Drosophila melanogaster: one gene and its partners. The protein of the gene in region 1 interacts with the protein of each later gene in a pairwise test. Each region holds a gene or a part of one and is shown on either strand. Other genes may lie near its edges.

Region 1 (3,754 bases):
CATTGAAATTGGCTTTAGAAACTTACAGCCTACCTTATACGTTATATACGAGTATTTTGGATTTTTCATGCATTTTATATAGGTTAAAGGGAATGGCTCTATTAGTTTAGGTATAACACAATAACGAAGAAAGAAATACATATCATGCATCTAATAAATTTATTAAGGCGTAAAATGTCAGATTTTTATAGAAACATATATAGGAACCATTAAAATGAAATGCATGTTATTCCTTGAAAAGAATGAGTATGTGCCTCTTCAGCGCGGCTGGCATGGGTCTCTTTAGTCTCGTCGATGGAAGGGGAAGTGGGTAATTTGAGGCGGCCACTGGACATTGAAATTTCACCTGGGCAGCGCACCAGCAGAGCCACTGGAGCCACCGGAGCGGCGGCAATGACAATGGCAATACGGTGTGCCGTTAGCCAGACGTCAATCAAGAGGTGAAATGCCTAGGCGAGTCCAATACGTATAGTTATTGATTACGTGCTGCGTTTGCTTAAACGGATTGCCGATTGCAACTGAAACTGACTGCAGCGGCGGTGATCGGGGTAATTGCCACAAAATTGGTGGCTTATTGTTTATGGAGTGGTTAGTTAGTAAGTTAGTTAGTTTGTCGCCATTGCAACATGCATCATAATCATATGCAAATACCAGGGGCGGCCTGCTGGTGAATGAACTGCTGCCAGGAGACGGGTGCCCGATGCCAAACACTGAAAAGTCTGGCAGGGAATGGCCCACGGCGACGGCGGATAACCCGTTCAACGAAAGTCCAAATGGAATTCGCATAATTTCGGGTTTCCTTTTGGGCTTGGCCGGCAGTGCCATTGAACCTGACAAAGGATTTTTGCCAACGGCCTAGGCGGAACTATTGATCAGCGGGCTGTCGCCACAGCGTCGACCATAAACAACGGTGTGGTTAACCCAAATTGCAACTCGAAATGCAACTTTTATTTTAGCGGCAAGCATTTTATTTTCAAGCCCGCTGCACATTGAGGCAGCCGCCTGTGCCTCACAGTTTGCAGCTTGCAACTCACAGTGTGCGATGCAATTGGTGCACGTAAAGCCATCCATTGTCTGGATCTTGGCGAAACTTGGCGCATCAAGTGCTCCCATTGCAAATGAAAGTGCTCGCTTTGCCGGCCACCTTGCAATTTGACAAATATTCCGACGACTTCAATTCAATTGAAGAAGCTACAGCTTCATTGTGCAGCGATTGCAATTTGCTGGCTTTGCTGGCGAAGGTGAAGGTGATACCAAATTTGAATGCCAATCTCAGTCTGAAGTCGTTGATCGCCGATGAGAAGAAGAAATGCCATTGAATTTGCAATAGAAATTAAAGCCAATCCATTATTGTGTTATGCTGTGCGCAGTGAGAGACTTTTTAATAACCGCTAATTGTGGCCAACAAACTCACAATACCCGCGTGAATCACTTACCCTCATCTTCTTTCGGATTTGCTAGAGATTTTCGTTGTTTTATTGTCGGGTAGCTGGCTGATGGATCTGGTAGACTGTAGAAAGCTCTGGGGCAAATGTCGAGCAACTTTTGGCTTCTTCTGCTACTCCAGCAGCAAATAGATGAAGATCAAAATGGCAATTAGGTATATAATCACGTCAATTAACTTCATGTCAACGAGCGCCGCGGCGCTTTCTTCGATCTTAAACTGCACGCACAAAAGATTTGTAAAGAGTTTCGAATATAAATTCGAGGAGCAGCGACGTCCGCACCTGTTCAAGTCGCGAAGACAACTGACTGTTAGTTGGTCGCTGGTGGCGGACAAAAACCATGTGCCCATCCGCTGGAGTTCCACTGGAATGGAGTGACGACTCGCATTGGAAGTGCGCACTGAAGAAAGTGGTCGGATTTTCTTGACTCTGGCGCCGAATGAAATACAAAAAAAAAAAAATAAAATAAATAAAAAGCCAACAAATAAAACTAGTTTGCAGTGGATAAAGCGCAGCACGCGACCAGCAGCTACATGAATTGCCAGCAAGTGGCCGATTAATCGCAACGAAAGTGTTTTCCCATTGACTGTTCTTGGCCGGCGAAAGAAAGGAGCGAAAGAGACGGCGCCAAACAAAAGACTTAAGCAGCGAACTTGTTGTCGTCGCAAGTCAGCACTCGCTCTTTACCTTAAAAAGCAATGCGGACCAGGCGCACATGATCAAGAGATGGCCCCCCAATGCCGCCGTCTGTCACCTGTTGGCCCCACTTTTTAAGTCTTTTTTTTTGCTGGGGCAGCAAACAGGAGCAGAGCCACCGATTGAAATTACGAAATGCGGCAGGCACAGTGGGGAAAATAGCAAACATTTTAAAGCGGAACCAAACAATATTTTGGGAATAATAAGATATTATTATAACATTTTCATACTTTTTAAGATGTTGCCAATATTTTTCCAATAATTTTAAACTCATATTTAACTGCATTAAATATCTGGCTAAACTCGTCGAAGACTCAAAGGAATGCGTGAAAGCTTTTTCGAATTAGTTTTTGTACGGAAGTCAGCTCAATTGGGGGCTAAGGGTTTCGTAGAAAAGCTTGAGCTGTATTTTAAGCGATATTTGATGGTAATGTAACTTAATTCAGATGTGTCCCAAAAACGAATGGATGCAATTTCCATAACCAATGGATTCCGTATGATAGGCTTCACATTTCGGATGTACATATACCAAAGGCCCTTCGATGATAATGAGACATGCTTATGAAACGCTCCCCAATAATTGGTCGCATTTTATGCAAGGCGCGACATCCAATTTCTAAACGCAATTGGTCATTGGAATTTTATAACGCCCGGCCAGCCATTTTTTGGGTCAGTATTTGGCGGCCCAAAGTTTTGGGACATAAATCAAAATTTCACTTTCATAAAGCTCTCAGTTTGGTGGTAATTTCTTTGCTATTTTTTTCCGTATTTATATTTTATTTTGAAATATTATTTTTAACAAGGTTTTTTAAACATTAACAACATAATATTATTATTATACCTTTTATTTCATACATTTATCATTTCTTTTGGTTTTTTCTTTCGGTTGCGTTTTAGACAAATGTTTAAAATATGCATTTTTAGCTCTTCAATTTGTTATTTAAAATGTTGTTTATTTTTTGTTGTTTTTGCCTTTGCAGGACCATTTTAAACTAATTTGTCATTTTATGCTTTCTGCTCTGATTTCGGTTTAGTTTACTTTAATTTCAATGTAAATTAATGAATTTTTTTTATCGCTTTTTACGTTTTATTTATGTCTACTTTTACGTTTTCCGTTGTGTAAATATACCTCATATAAATAGCGAGTAAAAACTAAAAAAATGTAACTACATTAATATGATTTGCATTGTTTTTTTTTTTTTTGGGTTTGCATTATTTATACAATTTATTTAGCACACATTGCCGGATGTGTATGTGTGCGTGTGCGGGTATCATGTGAAAGTGCTGCGAAATTATAAAAAATATTTTTTCGTTTTTCTTTTTTTGCTTGGTTTTTTAGTTGCAATTTGTTATGTTAATTATGATATCTTAATATCGTTATTCCTTAAAAAAATGAACATTTCCGCCTTAAACCTGTAAAATTATCATATTAGTTTCGGTTTTCGTTTTGGTTTTTATCTGCAAACGTTGATTCTATACAAAAAATCTAACTACAGTAAAATGCTGCATAGCTTCACATTTACGAGTATGATAATATATTTTATACGTTTTTTTTTTTTTGTTTTCATTTTTATTGACGAGTTTTCTACAAAAACCTTTGCACTTACGCTAAT
Region 2 (3,754 bases), on another chromosome or scaffold:
CAAGACGTTTTCCACATTGGCTGAATTTTCATTCATACCTTGGTTTTTTATGCACCCGAACCATACAACCGACAGTCTGTTCGGCACTTTACACTGTCGCTGACTTTTTGCAAACTTTTTCCGCATTACCTTATTCACACTTGTTTTAGCACCCCACGCTCAACAAAAATTGTTCTTGGATGTTTTACAATTTACTTAAAAAGCACGACGACATTGTGTGAGTCGTCGGAACCTTTTTATGCATTTGCCGTTTATTAAGGAACTGTCGACATATGTGAACACTTATGTACATTGCTTGGTTCCCGTGTGCCGAGTTCGGATTGGGCCTATTAAGCTTTTGTGTCTCATTGTGTGCTTTACAAAAATACATTGGGACCGGGCATTTCGTATTCTTATTAAATCTTTATTGGGATTTTGTCCGAAACCTAAAATATGCACTCTTCGACGGTACACATATAAAGTTTCCTATACTTTTGTTGGATGTTATCGGACTTCGTACATGGATTGAGTTCAATTACTAATGGGGGTTGGGATAATAATGTAAAATCTAGCATAACGATCCTTGCTTTCGATAACTCTTAATTTTAGTCTTTAGGACCCAAAAGAAATATTGCATTTTTAAAAGCACTTCGTTCGGCAGTTTTTCTCTCAACTCAAGTCTTTACAATATAGAAGCTTAATCAAGTGGGTCTACCGACCTATGCTTCACAAACCATGCAAGTTATAAGAAAACTGAATAAAAATTAAAAGTTTAGTAGGATTTTTGTATGTAGACAAGTAAAGTTGTCAGACTTACGGCAATCAGAAATTAAATGGCTTGACTCGCTCATCTAATAAAAATCCAAGATCCATTTTCAAGTTTATCGGAAGCTTCCACACTCAAACTAAATTAAAATTTAGATTGACGCAATTGCCACTCGTTGGACAATAAGTATCGTTTTAACTTTTCGTGCGACAAAAACGATGGAACATGCTTTTCCAAAATGATGCATTTGACGGTTTAAGAGTATTTTAGGCTTATTGCTCCTTTTTCTGCGTTGTAGTTTCTAATTATGATTTATATAATAGTTGGTTTGCCTGTCGTTTTTTATAGAGCTTTGTTTATATTACTTTTGGTTTCATATTAAATGTTACATTTTATTGAGTAATTAAAATGTATGTTCTAAGTAAAGAAAAGAAATAAAACATATAATTTTTGTCAGCATAAGTTAATTTTTTATTATTGAAATTATATTATTTCGATCATATATATCATTTCACATATTTTGTAAATTTCTAGTATTATAATTTTTCACTTTGTCGAAAACACAACATAAAGTATACTTTAAATATTTCGGCTCAAATTGGTCGGTAAACGTTTAACTTTACATTTTTTGAGCAAAAGGTGACTGATAATATTTGCAAACGGTTTTAAGTGGATAATCCTAGACCACTTAATCACGTAATTTAACTGAATCTTTTTGAATATTTGTTGCTTTCGCACTACAACAACACCGTCGCGCACAAAGCAATACATCAACTGTGCAACGTGAAAGTCCCCAATCACTGAATTTTCCTTTACCGTTAGCACAGCCCGCGAGCTCGGAAAATCACTTGAAAACTGTTCGCCCGCGTCGTCATCATTTTCATTTGCCGGCCGTCTTCGCGCAGCAACAATGCTGCCGAAACATTAGAACGAGCTTGACTCAAAATGCGAGCAACAATGCTGCAGCAACATTGGAACGAGTGAGTTTTTGAATTCGAGTGAGGTGAGTTCTGGTTGGTGAGGGGTAAGTGAGGTGAGTTCTAGGTGGTGAGGGGTATTGTTTGAGTGATTTTTTTTTAATGTGGAACACAATAATGAGAAAAAGAAAAAGCTCTTTTCTTTCCCGAAAGCTGTTAAATTCAGCAAGAGAGCTATTCTACAGTTTGAAGCAGCTTCACGAACCATTTCTATATTTGATGCGTGGGCACCGGTGGGCAAATATGTACGTGGTTTAATTTTTAAAAATTTATGGAAATTTACAAAACGAATACAAAAATCAACAAATATCAAAACGTTTGTCAAAAGAGAGACAACATGGTACGTGTATGTAAACAAAGCATTATTTTGGGCGGAAAGGTGTTTGGCTATGGTTTAATTAAAAAGTTTTATTCAAAATATACCAATTAGGCGTTCTGTCTTCCCCGGGTTGAAAATATTCAACTGTTGTCCTCCTTTCAATTGACCAATATCTCTAGTTCCTGGTTAGTTTTCCACGTTTTTTAGAAAAAATAAAATATCTGATATAAGCGGGATCGCAAGTGGAGAATAGGGTACAGTAGAGTAGAGTTTCCAAGGCTGCTTTATCAATGATACGAACCTGAACTCAGAGGTGACATGAGGCCGTCTAATTCGAAAGTTTCAAGTGACGCTAGAGCAAAAGGAGAGAAGAGAGAACGCTATAGTAGAGTTCCCTGAGTATCAAACACCCATTACTTATCTAGTGTGAATGCGAACGCCATATTTCATAATTTATAAAATAATTATCTTGTTGTTGGCAAATCGATAGAAATTTACAAGACTAATAAAATTATGAACAAATTTGGAAAAATGGTTAATGGTGCGGTTTTAGGGCGTTAGAGTGGGCATCTCAGCCTTCTAGTTTTTATAGCTCCTGAGATCTCAACGTTCATACGGATAGGCGGACACATGGACATGGCTAGATCGACTCGGCTATTGATCCTGAGCAATATGGTTGGAAACGCTTCCTTCTGCCTGTTACATACCATTCAACGAACAAACGATATCCTTATACTCTACGAGTAGCGGGTATAATGAATACCAAAAACACTTACGCCATGACCTTCCACCGCATTTTTTACAAATTTTGAAACTTCTTGTCGGAAAATTTGACTTTCGGATCTCTTGATTTTTTTCGTTTTATTATTTGTCTGCCAAATTTCTGTCGATATGCCGTGGCGTGACCCACTCTTACACCTACAAACCTCAATAAGTTTTCAAGCCCACAATTCAAACCTTTTTTTAATTCCTACCGCAACGCCAACAAAATTTTTAAATATTTTCCTAGAGAATCGCATTAGCTATGTAATGGGTATCTAATAGTCGTAAAAATCGACGATAGCGTTCTCGCTTGCTATACTTTAAATATTACTGCGTGCGTAGAATTTCGAAATGCCGTTTGATCGAAACTATCATAAGTCGTTAACTTTAAAGGCTCGGCATCTATGAGCAAATGAGAATATAACTAGCTTTCACTTAAAGTTTATTTTTCATAAGATAGTTTAAGCGATAAAGAAATATATATATATAGATTAGATTATTTTTAAGAAAAATAATTTAGAAGAAATTTAAGCGGATGTATGTAAATTAATAATAGTGCTTAGCAATATTTATTTATGGCTATATAAACAACCACGATTTCGACGCGGAAAATTACGTGGAAAATTACGAAAACGTCATTCTGTAAAATAAAAGTTTAAAAACTATAAAGTAAACATGCAAAATAACTATCTGATGAATCTGTCACGTGAACTACTATCGATCAACTACTGGTTCCGACTATCGAAAATATCAAGAATTGTCCCAGCTCTATGGTCGCTGCAGCGCCTCGCTCTTTCCTGTCGAAACGCCGTTGAAAGGCGTAGTGTTTTTTTGGTCCGCGAGAAAATCTCCATACATCCAAAATGGTAGGTGCCCAAAGTCAGAAATAATAGCCCCATATCTACAGAAAAGGCCTAGAGGCGACCTGCATTAATATCTTTAATGCCCAGT
Region 3 (3,754 bases), on another chromosome or scaffold:
GGCGGCCAAGCCCTGGCGTCATGTGAAGAAGGAGAGGCGCGAGAAGCTGCGCAAAAAGTTCTCGCACCTGGACGAGCACTGATTGTAGCCCATTAGTTATTTATTCCGAAGGGTGTGTCTAAGAGGCACTTGTACATTTTAAGCATTAAACCTACGTATATACATATATATTAAAGTCCCCCCGACTTCGAGAGTTTGAAGGCCCACAATCTCAGACTGAAAGAGTTATATTGCGCAACTAGCAGATTGAGAGAAACATAGATAAGCCATCTGATGGCCCAGCCTGGACACAACGATTAACACAAAGATAGCATATATTTAGCATACACACCAATGAAAGCAAACTGTTGTTGGAATGGCGCCCCCAATTGAGTTTAAGAGATGCGTGAATGGAAGGTAATTTCGAGATGCGGAGGAGCGCAGTTGCGCGGAGAAAAGAAGCCTGCACTTTGACCGCGTGATAAGCGCAGATGCTTACGGCTCTTGTCTTCTATCACTTGGCCACAGTCTCTATCACGCAGTCTTCAGCGATGGCCACAAACGAGAGCTGCAAGCACTTCAGGGAGCTGGTCGTCGAACAGCGTTCTGGGCTGCTCCACATACGCTTCCAGCGGCGCTGGCAACGCCGAACCCTCTACGAGCTGATGCGCGCCCTGGACCTGGCGAGTGCAGACGCCGCCGTTAAGGTGGTCGTGCTCTCGGGCGAGTTTTCTGCAGCATGTGGCGGTGAGATGGAACCGTTGGCTCTCAAACAGGGTCTGGAGAATAGGAGTAGGCGTACCGCTTCCCACGAAGAAGCTGTGGGCAGTGGTGATGCCGAGGAGCAGTACATCCATGAGAAGGCGGCCAATTTTGTGATGCGCTCGCTGGCCAAGAAGCTGCTTGTGCACCGCAAACTCCTAGTGGCTTTTGTGGAGAGGCAGTGCGTCGGTCTGGGCCTGAGCGTGTGCAGCCTGTGCGATCTGGTCTTCGCAACGGAGTTATCTGCCTTTGTGCCCGCTTTCTCGCACCTGGATCCCTGCACCAAGGTGGGTCCCGGCTGGACTGTGCCACACGTCCACTGGCTGCTTCGTCTGGGCGATCAAGCGAGCTCCAGCATTGCCCTCCAGTGTGGCCTTGTGGCCAGTGTGGTGCGAGAGCCGCAGGAGTTTTGGCACCGCGTCGACCAATACTTGCGCTTGCCTTCCGCCTCCCTGTTGGCGACAAAGCGCCTCCTGTTTCGTCCCTGGCAGGACTCCCTCTTGGCCGAATTGCGCGAGGAGGGCACTCCGCTGGCTGCGCAGCGACGCCGCTTGGCCAGATCCTCGCTGTAGGGTTGCGCTTCCAGATCCGTTGAATCGATTAAGTAAATAAATAGCGATTATAAAATAATGACATGTCCCCATGGTATTTCTTTTCATTCCTTTCATTGGAGCTCCATGACTTAACTTAAACTTTAAATCAAAATCTGCAACGGAAACGGGTATGCATATACAGATGGGCAGCACTGTTTTCGATATCTTTCGACTGGAAGGCACAGCTGATTGCCGGCGCGTGTTGTTTTTTTTTTGTTGCTCGCCGCAAAACTGCGAAAGTAAAATCTCGTAATTTTGGGGAAGATTAATTAACTTGGGCAAAATGCAGCGAGCACGACTGTTGCGGAACGTGTGGCTCTGCAGGCAGCGCTTGGGCCATCTGCCAGGACGCAGCGCTTCCTCCGCCAGCCTGGCATTCCGTTATGCAACGAAGCCTGCGGCGCCAGCGGTGCCGTTCTCGCTGCTCCAGATGCGATCCCTGGGAACGGGTGGCGTCCTCAGTGCGGTGGAGCGAAGAAGCCGGCGCCCCGCCTCCTCCTCTGAAAAACCGAAAGCCAGCGTGGCGGATGCGTGGACACAGCTGGAGGCGTACTACCGGCAGCACGATCTGATCAACTTTGAGCACTGCCAGCGCCTGCTGGAGCTCCTGCAGGAGTCTGCGTCGCCGCTAGGAGTCGGCATCGAAGAGGTGCACTTCCTTCTAGGGTCCTGTGTGCCCGAACTGCTTCCTGCTCAGAGCAGCCAGGAGCGTCTTCAGCTCTTCAAGGGACTCTGGGCTCAACTGATCAAGTTGGGCCAGCCCACGCTGGCACATTACCACACGAAGCTCCAGGTGCTGCGCCAGAACCGTTTGCCTCTGACTGACTATCGCTCGTTGCTGGCGGAGATTGCCGTCTACCATGGAGCAGCCGATTCCACCTTGTACGGCGCTCTTTTGGACGTGGCCGGCGCCGCCGGAAACATGCGCATGGCCACCGAGATTTTGTCGGAGATGCGCGAGCGCAGCCTCGCCCTCACGGAGCACAACTTTCACGCCCTGCTTTTGGGCCACGCCCGCAGCGGTGATCTGCCCGGGGCGGAGTCCGTCCTAGCCAGCATGCGGGCCGCAGGAATACAGCAAGGCAGCAGCACTCAGGCCATTTGGTTCGAGGCTCTGCTGGAAAACGGTCAGTTGGCACAGGCCAAGGAGCTGCTGCAGGTGGAGCACGGATTCACCGCCCCTCAGCTGCTCCAGATGCTGCGGGGTCTGCTCGCCAGCAAGGATGTCGACACGGATCTAATCCAACTGCTTGTCAAGGAACTGCCCCGCGAGTTTCTAACAGGTATCGACCTGCCGCCCGCCATCAGAAGCCTGTGCATTCAGCTGGTGCACCAAGGACGCACCGAAGTCGTCATACAGCTCGTAGGTGCGTTGCCCGCTCCGAAGTTCGAGTTGCAGAATCAGAACGTGGATGAGTACGGTGCACTTCTGCTGCAGGAGTTCTTCCGCGCCCAAGTTCCGTTGGACCAAACAATCCAGTTCGCCGGTCAACTAGTGCAGCGGAACCAGAACGTCCGCGCCCTGCATTTGGTGGCGGAGTTGGCCCTTCGCCGTCAGCCATCATCCGCGCTACGCTGCCTGGAGGATCTATCTGCAGCCGGCGAGGAACTTCGTCCGCATTACTTCTGGCCCCTGATCTTGCACCATTACCGGCGGGAGGGCGAAAGCGGCATGCTACGCCTGGTTTCTGAAATGCGGCGCCTGCGCGTTGAGTGCGACGAGGAAACGTTGCGGCACTACCTGTTTCCCCACCTGCGCCAAACCCTGGTGCAGCCCTTGGAGGCCGTGAAGGCACTTGAATCGGCGGGGGTCAAGCCTTCCCAGACCCTGTGCCCGGTTGTGAGCCACTTGCTGCAGCAGCATCAGATGTCCGAGGTGCTGGACTTGCTTGATCGGTATCCGACACGCTTGGACCTGGCCACGCTGCTCCAACCACTTTCTTCGCTGGCGGTCAATGCCCGTGCCACGAAGCGTTTCGAGGTATTTGCCAAAGTGATCCAAGCCCTGCAGCAGAAGGCACTCAAACGGGGAGAAGATTTTGTGGGCTCCTTGCTGCTGCAAATGACTGGACCTCAGACGCGTCTGCGCCAGGATGCCACCTCGTTGCGACGTTTTCTGCACGAACTGAGACGCCTAGAGCTACAAATCTCACCCGCTGCCTCCGAAGCTCTACTCTCCGTGGTCCGGCACGCCACTGATGACGTTGACCTCATCCAGGATCTGGCCAAAACGCTGCAGAAGATGAAAAACCCACAGCTCGCCCTGCCAGCTGACACGGTCTCGCTCCACGGAGGCTTCATCAAGCACCCGCGCGACATGAGCATAGACGAGCTCGAGTGCCACCTAGTCGAGCTGGAGTCCAAGCAGCTGAACCCGCGAGGCGTGTTGCGTCGCTTGCTGCAGCTCTCGGTGCGCAGTG

The links.
Region 2: the proteins of CG13627 (region 1) and nolo interact in a two-hybrid assay, tested with the Drosophila melanogaster proteins (one large-scale study listed by BioGRID).
Region 3: the proteins of CG13627 (region 1) and Lrpprc2 interact in a two-hybrid assay, tested with the Drosophila melanogaster proteins (one large-scale study listed by BioGRID).

Annotation. Positions count from the first base shown.
Region 1 is NT_033777.3:24,710,780-24,714,533, reverse strand, and holds the start of CG13627 (uncharacterized protein), read right to left. Parts: upstream 1,755-3,754; 5' UTR 1,628-1,754; coding exon of another isoform or gene 1,559-1,627; 5' UTR 1,443-1,558; coding exon 1,437-1,442; intron 1-1,436. Other genes in the region: CG46316 (uncharacterized protein), read right to left, coding at 1,559-1,627.
Region 2 is NT_033779.5:21,681,954-21,685,707, reverse strand, and holds the start of nolo (no long nerve cord), read right to left. Parts: upstream 1,603-3,754; 5' UTR 1,369-1,602; intron 1,163-1,368; 5' UTR 797-1,162; intron 1-796. Other genes in the region: eEF2 (eukaryotic translation elongation factor 2), read left to right, coding at 3,667-3,669.
Region 3 is NC_004354.4:1,458,422-1,462,175, reverse strand, and holds the start of Lrpprc2 (Leucine-rich pentatricopeptide repeat containing 2), read left to right. Parts: upstream 1-1,558; 5' UTR 1,559-1,617; coding exon 1,618-3,754. Other genes in the region: Ns3 (nucleostemin 3), read left to right, coding at 1-82; CG14787 (uncharacterized protein), read left to right, coding at 531-1,313.